3 linked regions of the Canis lupus familiaris genome follow. The protein of the gene in region 1 interacts with the protein of each later gene in a pairwise test. Links are inferred from orthologs where the notes say so. Each region holds a gene or a part of one and is shown on either strand. Other genes may lie near its edges. The genes, in order: TRIM41, CSNK2A2 and CHD2.

The links.
Region 2: the proteins of TRIM41 (region 1) and CSNK2A2 interact in a two-hybrid assay, tested with the Homo sapiens proteins (3 studies listed by BioGRID and IntAct). The two-hybrid records come from large-scale screens. The link is inferred for Canis lupus familiaris from reciprocal best matches to the Homo sapiens genes TRIM41 and CSNK2A2.
Region 3: the proteins of TRIM41 (region 1) and CHD2 interact in binary tests that used the Homo sapiens proteins (3 or more experiments, as listed by UniProt). The two-hybrid records come from large-scale screens. The link is inferred for Canis lupus familiaris from reciprocal best matches to the Homo sapiens genes TRIM41 and CHD2.

The regions. Positions count from the first base shown.
Region 1 is NC_049232.1:599,012-602,759, forward strand, and holds the start of TRIM41 (E3 ubiquitin-protein ligase TRIM41), read left to right. Parts: upstream 1-976; 5' UTR 977-1,038; coding exon 1,039-1,848; intron 1,849-3,748.
Region 2 is NC_049223.1:57,697,701-57,701,348, forward strand, and holds part of CSNK2A2 (casein kinase II subunit alpha'), read left to right. Parts: intron 1-109; coding exon 110-193; intron 194-991; coding exon 992-1,102; intron 1,103-1,343; coding exon 1,344-1,445; intron 1,446-2,188; coding exon 2,189-2,289; intron 2,290-3,303; coding exon 3,304-3,452; intron 3,453-3,648.
Region 3 is NC_049224.1:47,591,960-47,595,607, reverse strand, and holds the end of CHD2 (chromodomain-helicase-DNA-binding protein 2), read left to right. Parts: coding exon 1-323; 3' UTR 324-3,616; downstream 3,617-3,648. UniProt on the Homo sapiens protein: ATP-dependent chromatin-remodeling factor that specifically binds to the promoter of target genes, leading to chromatin remodeling, possibly by promoting deposition of histone H3.3.

The sequences.
Region 1 (3,748 bases):
TCTTGGAGAGCATTCCCATTTTACAGCTACGAGTATTGCACTGGGTGGAGGCTCGGGTAATTTTACTATTCCTTTGCTGAAGGGCAGCTAGAGAGGTTCATCCAAAGGACACGACAGTGACCAGACGACAGCGCTAGAATGCGTATGGGAATGCCAGCCACAGTGAGGAGGACGGAGAAGGTCTCGGGTCTCGGGCCCCGGCCCCCGGCCCCCGGCCCCCATCCGTCTCGGAGGAACTCCGAGTTGCCAAACAACAAAGTCCTCGGCCTAGAAGGGCCGGAAGTACTTGAGGGCGCTCAGCGGAGCCCGCCCCTCCGCTTCCGGCATCGGCTGTGGGGAGGCCCTGGTGCAGTCCTCCGTGTTCGGTTAGTAGGATGGCGCCAGGCCGACGCGGTCATAGTACCGAGGGCGGACGGCCGCTAAGCGCTCCCATCCTCCCCCAAAGTTTATCCCTAGTGGCGAGGGATGGGGGAGGCCGGTTCTTCCGGGTCGTCCGCGTTCCCTGCTCCTTCCTATTACAGAGATGTGGGCCTCCATCGTTCTAGCTCTCCTGCCCTGTTCCCGTGTGCCTGCTAGAGCGTCTCCTCGTCGTTTCCTGTCGCCCAGAGGCCCGGGAGGAAAGAAGGGGGCGTAGCGCTACCACGGAGGGACCTTGCGAGCTTGGGCGACGCTCAGACACCGGAAGTGTTGGCAGGGAGGCCGGAAGTGAGGGGGAGGAGCCAGGAAGTGAGGAGGGGCGGGGGCTTATGAGGAGGCCAAGGGAGCGTTGGGACAGATTTGCACTCAGGGCCACCTGAGGGACTTGGCTGTAGCGCTCCGCTCTGTCCCCTCCCCTCGCAGAGACACGGTTGTCGTCTAGGAGTAGGAAACTCTGTGTAGAAGGGTGGGTTGTCGGAGGACCTTCCTCTGTCTGCGCTAGAGACAAGGTGTGGAGAGGCGGGGTGGGGGTGGGGCCGGGTCGTCAGGGAGTCTGAGAGGGAAGACCCCCGCCCCCCCGCCCCCCCACCGCCCATCTACACTGGCTGACTGGACACTAAGATGGCTGCCGTTGCCATGGCACCCAACCCTGTGCAGACCCTTCAGGAGGAGGCGGTGTGCGCCATCTGCCTCGATTACTTCACGGACCCCGTGTCCATCGGCTGCGGGCACAACTTCTGCCGAGTGTGTGTAACCCAGCTGTGGGGAGGGGAGGATGAGGAAGACAGGGACGAGTTAGACCGGGAGGAGGATGAGGAGGACGGAGAGGAGGAGGAAGTGGAGGCAGTGGGGGCCGGTGGGGGGTGGGACACCCCCATGCGGGATGAAGACTATGAGGGCGACATGGAGGAGGAGGTCGAGGAGGAAGAGGAGGGTGTGTTTTGGACCAGTGGCATGGGCGGGTCCAACTGGGACAACATGGACTACGTGTGGGAGGAGGAGGACGAGGAGGAAGATTTGGACTACTACTTGGGGGACATGGAGGAGGACCTGAGAGGGGAGGATGAGGAGGACGAGGAGGAAGTACTGGAGGAGGACGAGGAAGAGGAGCTAGACCCCGTCACCCCACTGCCCCCGCCTCCAGCCCCTCGGAGGTGCTTCACCTGCCCCCAGTGCCGAAAGAGCTTTCCCAGGCGGAGCTTCCGCCCCAACCTGCAGCTGGCCAACATGGTCCAGGTGATTCGGCAGATGCACCCAACTCCTGGCCGAGGGAGCCGTGGGAGCGAGCAGGGCATTTGTCCAAAACACCAGGAAGCCCTGAAGCTCTTCTGCGAGGTGGATGAAGAGGCCATCTGTGTGGTGTGCCGAGAATCCAGGAGCCACAAACAGCACAGCGTGGTGCCATTGGAGGAGGTGGTGCAGGAGTACAAGGTGAGAGAAGTAGAAGATGGGAGTTAAGTGGGGGTGGAGAGGAAGTAAGAGGAGCTGGGAAAGGAAACCTGTCCCCTCCTGCCCCCAGAACCTCGTGCACTGATGAGCTTATTCTTCTTTTCTAAGCACTTATTGGCATCAAGGTGGGTTAGATTAAGAAGGATCCTGTACACGACGAAGCAGACCAGTGAAGAAGAGCAGGAAGATTGGTTTCCTCTAGAGAAATTGGGCAAAGCCCAGGTGATGTCACATCACTGGGCTGCATCTCTTGGGGAAAGCCACTGCCGTTTCACACTTCCGTTGTCCCTAAGTGTAGGCGTGCAGGTGGCAGGCCCCTCTGGCTTTACCACCAGTCTCATTTTCCTTTCCTTCAGCCTGTCCTTGACTCAGATGCCTGGAGATGGGAAGGACTTGGGGCCTCAAAGAACAGGAAAGGGCCTTAAGGAATGACTAGTGTCAGATTCAGGTGCTCTGCCACTTGCCTTTTAATGGATTTTTCATCTACCTCATGGTTTGGCTTGGTTCTCTTATCAAAGACTTTTGTTGGATCTGCATCAGCATAATGTACTGACTAGAACTTAACCTTTCCTGAGAATGCAGGAAAAAGGGAGAGGCTTCTTCTTCTTTTTTTTTTTTTTTAACCATTTTATTTATTTATTCATGAGAGAGACAGAGACACAGGCAGAGGGAGAAGCAGGCTCCATGAAGAGAGCCCAATGTGGCACTTGATCCCGGGACCCCAGGAGGCAAGCGCCAAACGGCGGAGCCACCCAGGGATCCCCAAGGGAGAGGCTTCTAAGTCAGAAGACTGGGCTGGCTCTACACTTATTCACTCAGGCATCTTTAAAAGTCTTGGAACTTTAATATCTCAAGGATTAAAAGTTAATATTTACTGAACACTTGCTATGTACACCAGGCACTGTACCAAGCACTTTTCAGGAACTATCTCATTTAAAACTCAAAACAATCCTGTTAAGTTTGATGTGGTTTCTATCCCCATTTTATAGATTAGGAAGCAGATTTAAGTAATATACACAGGGCCACACAGATGGGCTTGGTTGTGACCCCTTCCCCTGCATCCCTGCACACTGTTAACAATGTCACCACCATTTAGATATCTGTTAGTTTGACTTTCCTGATATGTGATTCTAGTTTGGTTAATGCTTTGCACCCTACTTCTGGCCCTTACTCTTTTGGGATATGGGTCAAGATTTGCCTGTAAGACAGCACAGTTAGCACTACTTAGGGAAGGCTGGGACAGGTTTGCAACAGTGGGACCGGGAGGAAGAAGGGGTAGCTCCTATGTGGCCTGTGCAGAACTTTTTTGTTTTATGACCTGTATTTCCACACCTTCTCACACAGTAATGTCATTTAGGGAATCTTATCGTTACCTCCATTTTAGAGTAGAGAGTCTAGAGCTAGAGTACAGCTAAGACAGACTTACATCTTATGACAAGTAACTATTTCATCCACACAGTGATTGTCCCCATTACTAAGGGAGTTTTCAAAAGTACAGTGGGCCCTACCACTTGAGATTCTGAGTCAGAGACAGGGAGGATATCAGAGTATCTTTAAGGAAGTCCAGCCTAGCATGGGAATCACTGCATTGGTAATATCACCTGCTTTGTAGGCCCTGAGTTGTTTGGGGAGGTTGTGATCTCCTTTTGTCCATTTTTTTTTTTTTTCATCTCCTTTTGGCTCTTAGTTAACTGTACCCATCAATGGGCAATTTGTTAATTGAATGTTGGTGTGGAGTATTCATGGGCATTCCACCACTTCTTCACCCTACTCCTACAGGACTCTTGTGAAGAGGTTTCTGAAACTGGATTTTAATTTGTGTTAGCCACATCTGTTGTATGCCAGCCCAGAAGAGCTCTGCAGTTTGAGGAGGCCACATAGA
Region 2 (3,648 bases), on another chromosome or scaffold:
CTGCCCCTTGGGAGATTGTATTCACGTGAAGCTGTCACAAATAATATGCTTGCGTTGGGAGGTTGGTAGACAGTGTGCTTACTTTTCTCTGTGCTTTCTTATCTAATAGGCTCTGGATTACTGCCACAGCAAGGGAATCATGCACAGGGATGTGAAACCTCACAATGTCATGATAGATCACCAACAGAAAAAGGTACCGTTGCAGCCAGGCAGCAACAAGGCTTTTCTTAAAAGGTCTAGGGCAGACCACAACTCTAGGTATTGACCTAGGAGGGACTGCAGACCAGTACTGTTTTCTTTGGCAGACTTGTGTTATTGTTATTTCTCCGGTCTCCAGTGTTGCTTTCTGCTCTGCATGAGCATGGTACACAAGGAAAGTAGACCCGTGAGCCTAACTGTAGTCCCTTGTTTATTTTGGTCATGGTTTTCCAGAGGGCCTCGCAAAGAAACTCCAGCAGATGGTTTGTACTTCTTTTAATGACCCTTAGACCAGTCTGCCTAGCCTTTACACTTGGGTCCCTCCTGTTTTTCATATCCAATTCTGGTTGTCTCTGATTGGTGAGTAAGTGATTCCACTACTGTGTGATTAATGAAAAGCTGGAGCAATGCTTCAATCCTGGGGTGGGGCCTGGGTCTCCAACCCTTTGTGTTGTGGCTTGAGCTTATGATGGGAGCTGTTAATAATGGGGGAATGTGTTATATGCAAGTAAAACAGAGGCAGAGTAAAAAGCTTAAGCTTGATTGATGGGAAGAGAATGATAAGCCAGGATAATTTAAATTAAAAAAAAAAAACAACAACAAATAAGATTCTGAAAGCTCTACTGTAGAGGTGACCTCTTCCACAGTTGCTGAAAGGGTAATTTTTGCCAGTGCACTGGCTAACATTTGTTATGTAGCGCACATATTGTCAGCTAACGTGATGTGGCCTTTTTCTAAGGCACAGGTGTCTAGAAACACTCCTTTACGGGTTTGATTTCTGTTGTGTTTGTAGCTGCGGCTCATAGACTGGGGTCTGGCAGAGTTCTACCACCCTGCTCAGGAGTACAATGTCCGTGTAGCATCGAGGTACTTCAAGGGACCGGAGCTCCTTGTGGACTATCAGGTACAACTCACGCCTCCTTTGTGTGTTTCCTTAGGGCTTCTCCTCGTGTGCTGTTTATTAAGTCAGTTTGGATACATTCAAAACCCCAGCCTGAAGCAGTCATTTCAGATTTTTCTCAGTGACTTTTTTTTTTTTCTTTGAATTCTAAAATATGTGCAAAGGTCAACTGAAGACTAGAAATCCAGATCAAAGAAATACATTTGCAACACCTTTCACTAACAGGCTGACCTTGTTTCCCCAGATGTACGATTACAGCTTGGACATGTGGAGTTTGGGCTGTATGTTAGCAAGCATGATCTTTCGAAAGGAGCCCTTCTTTCACGGACAGGACAACTATGACCAGGTGAGCAAACACTAACTGGCTCTTCCCCATGTGGGGGCACATGCCAAAGAAATGGGAGTCTGTTGACAGGGATGCTATCCTTGAGTCACTCAGTGTCTGCACTTAAGTTCTCCTTCAGGGTAAAGAGCTTCATGAGATTTTGTCTGTGGTTACTAGGTCCCCAAACATAGAGCCAGATAAAGCTATCTTACTAAGCTCCACGTATGCCCCACAGTGAGTCTGTGAAGAAGTCAGACACACCTTGTCTAACAACTAGCTTCTAGATTAGATTGTGATGCCCCCGTAATTGTCAGCTTCTGGAAGATTATTGTCTTAAGTTATTACCATTTTATTTTTGTTTTGTTTTTAATTTTTTTTTTTTTTATTTATTTATGATGGTCACACAGAGAGAGAGAGAGAGGCAGAGACATAGGCAGAGGGAGAAGCAGGCTCCATGCACTGGGAGCCTGATGTGGGATTCGATCCCCGGTCTCCAGGATCGCGCCCTGGGCCAAAGGCAGGCGCCAAACCGCTGCGCCACCCAGGGATCCCAGTTATTACCATTTTAAAGGGAGTTTGGAAATTTGCTTTCTGTGAACATCATTGGCCTTTGGTCTACCTCCTGTCAGCCCCGGGCTCCAATCTGCCTCTGGTCCCTGGAGATTCAGTGATGGAGAAGTCCTCTCATTTCTTGGGATAGCATCCTCACAGGCTTGCGGTGAGCTCTGTGCTCAGTAATTTGGTCAGTTTGTTTTGTGTTTCAGCTTGTTCGCATTGCCAAGGTTCTGGGTACAGATGAGCTGTATGGGTATCTGAAGAAGTATCACATAGACCTAGATCCGCACTTCAACGATATCCTGGGACAGTAAGTAAGAGAGAGGGAGAGAGAACGAGGGTTTTAACTAAACCCATTTCAGAAGAGGGAATATTCGCCGAAATCACTTGCTAATCATAGCAAAGTTGAAAATACCCTTCTTTTTTCTCATGTATGCTTTTTAAAACTTGTTTTGAGGTTTGGGCATTGTTTACATGTGTCTTCTGATCGTTGTACTTCTCCAAGAGATAACCTGTCAGTCCATAGAAAATAGGAGACAAAATCCTGTTACAGTGAAATGCTTTGCAGGACAGTGTATGCTTATTTTAATGGAAAATCTTAGAAAGCTGTGATTCTTCTTTGAGGAAGAGATTTATAGTTTTTTCTTGTTCTAGTTAACGGGTTTTCTACAAGGTGGCAAATTTTATTTTTTTTTAAGATCTTATTTATTTATTCATGATAGACATAGAGAGAGAGAGAGAGGCAGAGACACAGGCAGAGGGAGAAAAGCAGGCAGGCTCCATGCCAGGAGCCTGACGTGGGACTCGATCCCGGGACTCCAGGATCGCGCCCTGGGCCAAAGGCAGGCACCAAACCGCTGAGCCACCCAGGGATCCCCCCAACGTGGCAAATTTTAAAGCATATTTGCAGGTACAGTGTACTAGTGTTGAAAAGTAAATGCGTTGACAGTTCTCAGTGTTTTGTGGAGCCTCTGTTTCCAAGGCTAGCTCTCTAAATATTTTTGCTGCACAACAAAAATAACTCTGTCACCTCTGTGCCTCACCAGAATTGACTAAAAGCCTGATCCATAAGAAATGATCTAGGAAGGTGCCACAAATTCTAAATCAGATGTAGAAGCTTTAGTTCATTTTATCAGAGAGCATGTTTTTTGTTTCAAGATGCCTCAGATATTCCCGTGGAGGGTGGGGCAGACACCTGTGAGAATGAGATTTAATAAGTTTATAATCCTCCTGGGGTTCTAAGATTCTATTGGCTTTAACCATGGTAATGTCTGGATTCTTGTTGAATTGAATCTCAGTACCAGTGCTTCCCTTTCCTCCTCAGACATTCACGGAAACGCTGGGAAAACTTTATCCACAGTGAGAACAGACACCTCGTCAGCCCTGAGGCCCTAGATCTTCTGGACAAACTTCTGCGATACGACCATCAACAGAGACTGACCGCCAAAGAGGCCATGGAGCATCCCTACTTCTGTGAGTCTCCAGGGACCATTTGCAGGGGCCTGATTTATTAAAGGAATAAGTCTCCTGTTCTTTATCTTTGAGGCCAGTCAGGAGAATTCTAGGTGTTTGGATTGAATCATCCTTGGAATTTGGCCTCATTCATTCTGGACTATTGAGACAGCTCTTGCAGTTCCTTTTCTTGATCTGCAGAGGTGTTTGCTTGTCC
Region 3 (3,648 bases), on another chromosome or scaffold:
ACTCTAAGCGGAGGAGATCTGATGAGTTTCGGCCTCAAAATTACCACCAGCAGGATTTCCGACGAATGTCTGACCACCGCCCCCCGATGGGCTATCATGGCCAAGGACCCTCAGACCATTACCGCTCTTTCCACACAGACAAATTGGGGGAGTATAAACAGCCCCTGCCCCCTCTGCACCCTGCAGTCTCAGACCCTCGCTCACCCCCTTCTCAGAAGTCTCCCCACGATTCCAAGTCACCCCTGGATCACAGGTCTCCTTTGGAGAGATCATTAGAACAGAAAAACAATCCAGATTATAACTGGAATGTTCGGAAAACATAAAGGACGACTGGGAAAGAAGGGCAGAGCAAGAGTCATTAAGCACCTGGATATTTTTGGTCTGATCCAGTAGGAGCCAGTTATCTAGACCAATAAGTGGAGTTTCTGGACATGCTGCTGTTGTCAGCTCGCCGGTGGAAGGAGCACCTCGAGGAGTGGAGGGCCTTTCACTCGGTCCAGCTTGGGTTTGGGTCACCACTCCTACACTTTGACACCCCATCCCATTCCAGCCTGGTTCTGGCCTGTCACTGCGATGGGTGCTAGGAGGAAGAGGTGACTTCTGTGTACCAGCTTTGTGAGCTGTGTGTCCCCAGAGAAGGAAGAAGGGATCTTAGAGTCATGAGTATTTTGTTGCCCTGAGCCTGGGTGCAGTGGGCTGGGTAGGAGCGTGTGTGTGTGTGTGTGTGTGTGTGTGCGTGCGTGTGTGTGCGCGTGCGTGCGCGCGTAGGCAGCCAGGACCTGCTGGACGGCACACGATTTGCTTCACTGTGACGTGACAGATGCTGCTGACAGGGAGCGGGGCGTGGGTCTCGCCCCGTGGGACTTGAAGGGGAGCAGTACACTCCTCGGATGTGTTCTTGGGAGAAACCGTGCTGGGGCCTCAGCATGACACCTGTGGTGCAGGGGGGCTAGACAGAGGAAAACAGCTTCCACAGTGGCCCCTTCCCGACCAACACTAATTTTTCCCACACTATCTGTACATTTCAAAGGCTTGGTCTTCTGAGTGGGCCTCCTTTGCCCTGGTGCCAGGGAGAGTAGGGTCCATCTGGCTGACTTCTGAGCACTGTGAGCTAGGCAGCATTGGAGTTGGCATGGGTCTGCCTTTGTTGGGCATGGGCTGAAAGAGGGGCAGGGGCAGTGTGGCCAGGGACTCAGAGTCCCTCGGTGCATTTCTGATCCTGTGATAGGAAGTATTAAATTCAGAGCCTGGGAAGGAGGGAGAAGCTTGCTGCTGGCAGGGGCCCAGGTGGGGGTGCAGGTGTTAAGCAGGTTTCCTGGGGTGGGGCTTCAGGAGTGCCAGGGAATGGGGGCTTTCGTGTTGTGCCAGGTCAGCGTTTGCAGCTGCCTTGTAGTTAATTCTAGTTCCCTTTGCACAGTGTGAATAAGTAGATGACGCACAGCACACATCTCCTGACCCCGTGTGGCGGGTGGACAGGTGGAAACTCCGTTACCTATGGGGAACCCACACATTAGAATTGAACTGCTTATTATTATTATTTTTTTTTTTTTAGGATGAGATCAAAGTATAAACCTAAGTTAAAGTTTTTCCAAACTAGGATGCCTCCAAGGACAGGGGATTGAGCTGCAAACAGGAAGAGTCCTGGGGTTGAACGAGTCAGTGGTGGGAAGGCAGATTGGTTATACCAATTAATCAGGCTCCTTTCATTCTGCGGATCCTGGGCCTTCCATTTTACTCATTTTAAATATAGCTTGCCAGTATTGTTTGAGTATCCAAAGGCCTTTCTAGGTGGGATAATGGACTTGAACCTACAGCATGCCTTCATGTGTCCAGGCTCAGAGCAGGTGAAAACCTTCCCATTAGGCATGCCCAGGGTCAGCTCTCTGAACTAACCCATGAGGACTTCATAAAATGATCATCACTTACTTGCCAGGACCCTGGGCAGCACCATTAATGCCTTTACTAAGGAATTCTCAAGTCCTGTCACCCTAGTGAAGCAGATGTGGCTTTGGTGGTTCGTTGCATCTTGCTGTCCCCAGTATCCTGGGGCCGGCCAGGTGTGCATTCTAGAGGGGCTGGGTCCTCACAGCTTGTGTTGGGAGTTCAGTGGGCCTGCCCCCTCCTGATCTATCTCCTCATGGTACTGGGTAGTTCAGCGTGGGCTTGTACGTACCTGGTCAGCATGCCCTGGAGCATAGCCCAAAGAAATGCATAGGATCCCGTGGCCACAGTCATCCCATTGGGACTGTTCTGTGAGAGAAGAGTGTATTTGCTTTGGCCACCACCAGTAGCTTCTTGATGACAGTACTGAGACTACCCTGTGTTTCTGTTGCCCAGGCCAAAGAGGAAGGCTAGGTTGATTTGCTTGTCCTTTGGGTTGGGAGGGGAGGGAAGAGGGAAGCAGGTGCCCCCAGCATAGCATGTCTCTCCCTGTGGGAAGTCAGGCCGTGTCTTCTGGGAGGCATGGCAGGAGGCCCTGAATTTCAGTTCTCAGCCAGGGTGGTTTTCTCTGAAGTTGATAGGAGGTGTGAGTTATTCCCAAAGATGTCTCATCATGAAGAAAAAGGAACTTCCTTTTGTTTACATTCAGGACTTTTAGTGCCATATGATGTAGCAAAAGGCAATATTAGCCAGATCAGTGTTAAATTGATTATAAAATTACAGTATCCCCATAAAAGCGTCTATTTTAGTGTTGAAGTATGTTTGAAGAGTGAGTTGGGAAAAGGAGGCATTTCCTCATTGACCTAAATCAGTATAAATACTGTATGCTTTTGTCAAAAACGGATTTGCACAGGTAGGTATTCTCTCCCCATGGGGATGGGATAAGCTGCCCCGGGAATCTGCAAGGGTGGTATTCCATGGAGCCTAGCTTTGAAGGATTTCATAATTGGGTAGAAACAGCAGGGTTGAGGAAGAGGGGAGTTAGCATCACCTGAGCTCTGGATATAAACAAGGATTAACGTGGTACACCACAGCCCTGGAAAAGGATGCCTGAAAGCCCAGGTCCAGCCCTGCGGTCTTTCCAGAGACAGCTGGAGAGAAAAAGCCAGGCCCTCTGCAGAGCCCGAGCTGGTGGCCCCTGGGCCCCCTCTCTCTCCTTCTAGTCATTCCTTTCTTTAGCCCTTTCACGGGAAACCAGAACACTTCTCACATCGTGCCGCAGACATTTTAGCCTGATGCCTGAGAGCTGCATCAGGATGTGCGGTGCACATGCAATTCAGTTACAAATTCACACAGGGACACTGGAATCCTACAGACCAAAATCCACTCGTCAGCAGGAGCGGTGGCCCTGGGCGGAGCACCAGTGGTTTTCTGGCTTGTCTGAGGGCTGCCGTGTGGGGCGAGGAGAGCCAGGCCAAGGGTCCAGGCTGCTGTAGTCCATCCGTACCCCATGCGTTTGGGGACAGATGGTTTTTCTTTATTGTAAAATTGTGGACTTTTAAAAACCTGTTGACTAAACAGTAATTAATTTATATTTGTGAAAAATGCCACTGTCCTAGTGATTTCTGATGTAAATACTGTTGTTTATATAGTATGTATTAAATTTTCCTACATTGTAAAACTGCTGTACTTTTGATTCTTGTATATTAAAAAGTGTCACTAAGGATTTTTAGAATTGGTTGAACACAGTTACGTTGCGTTGGCGTG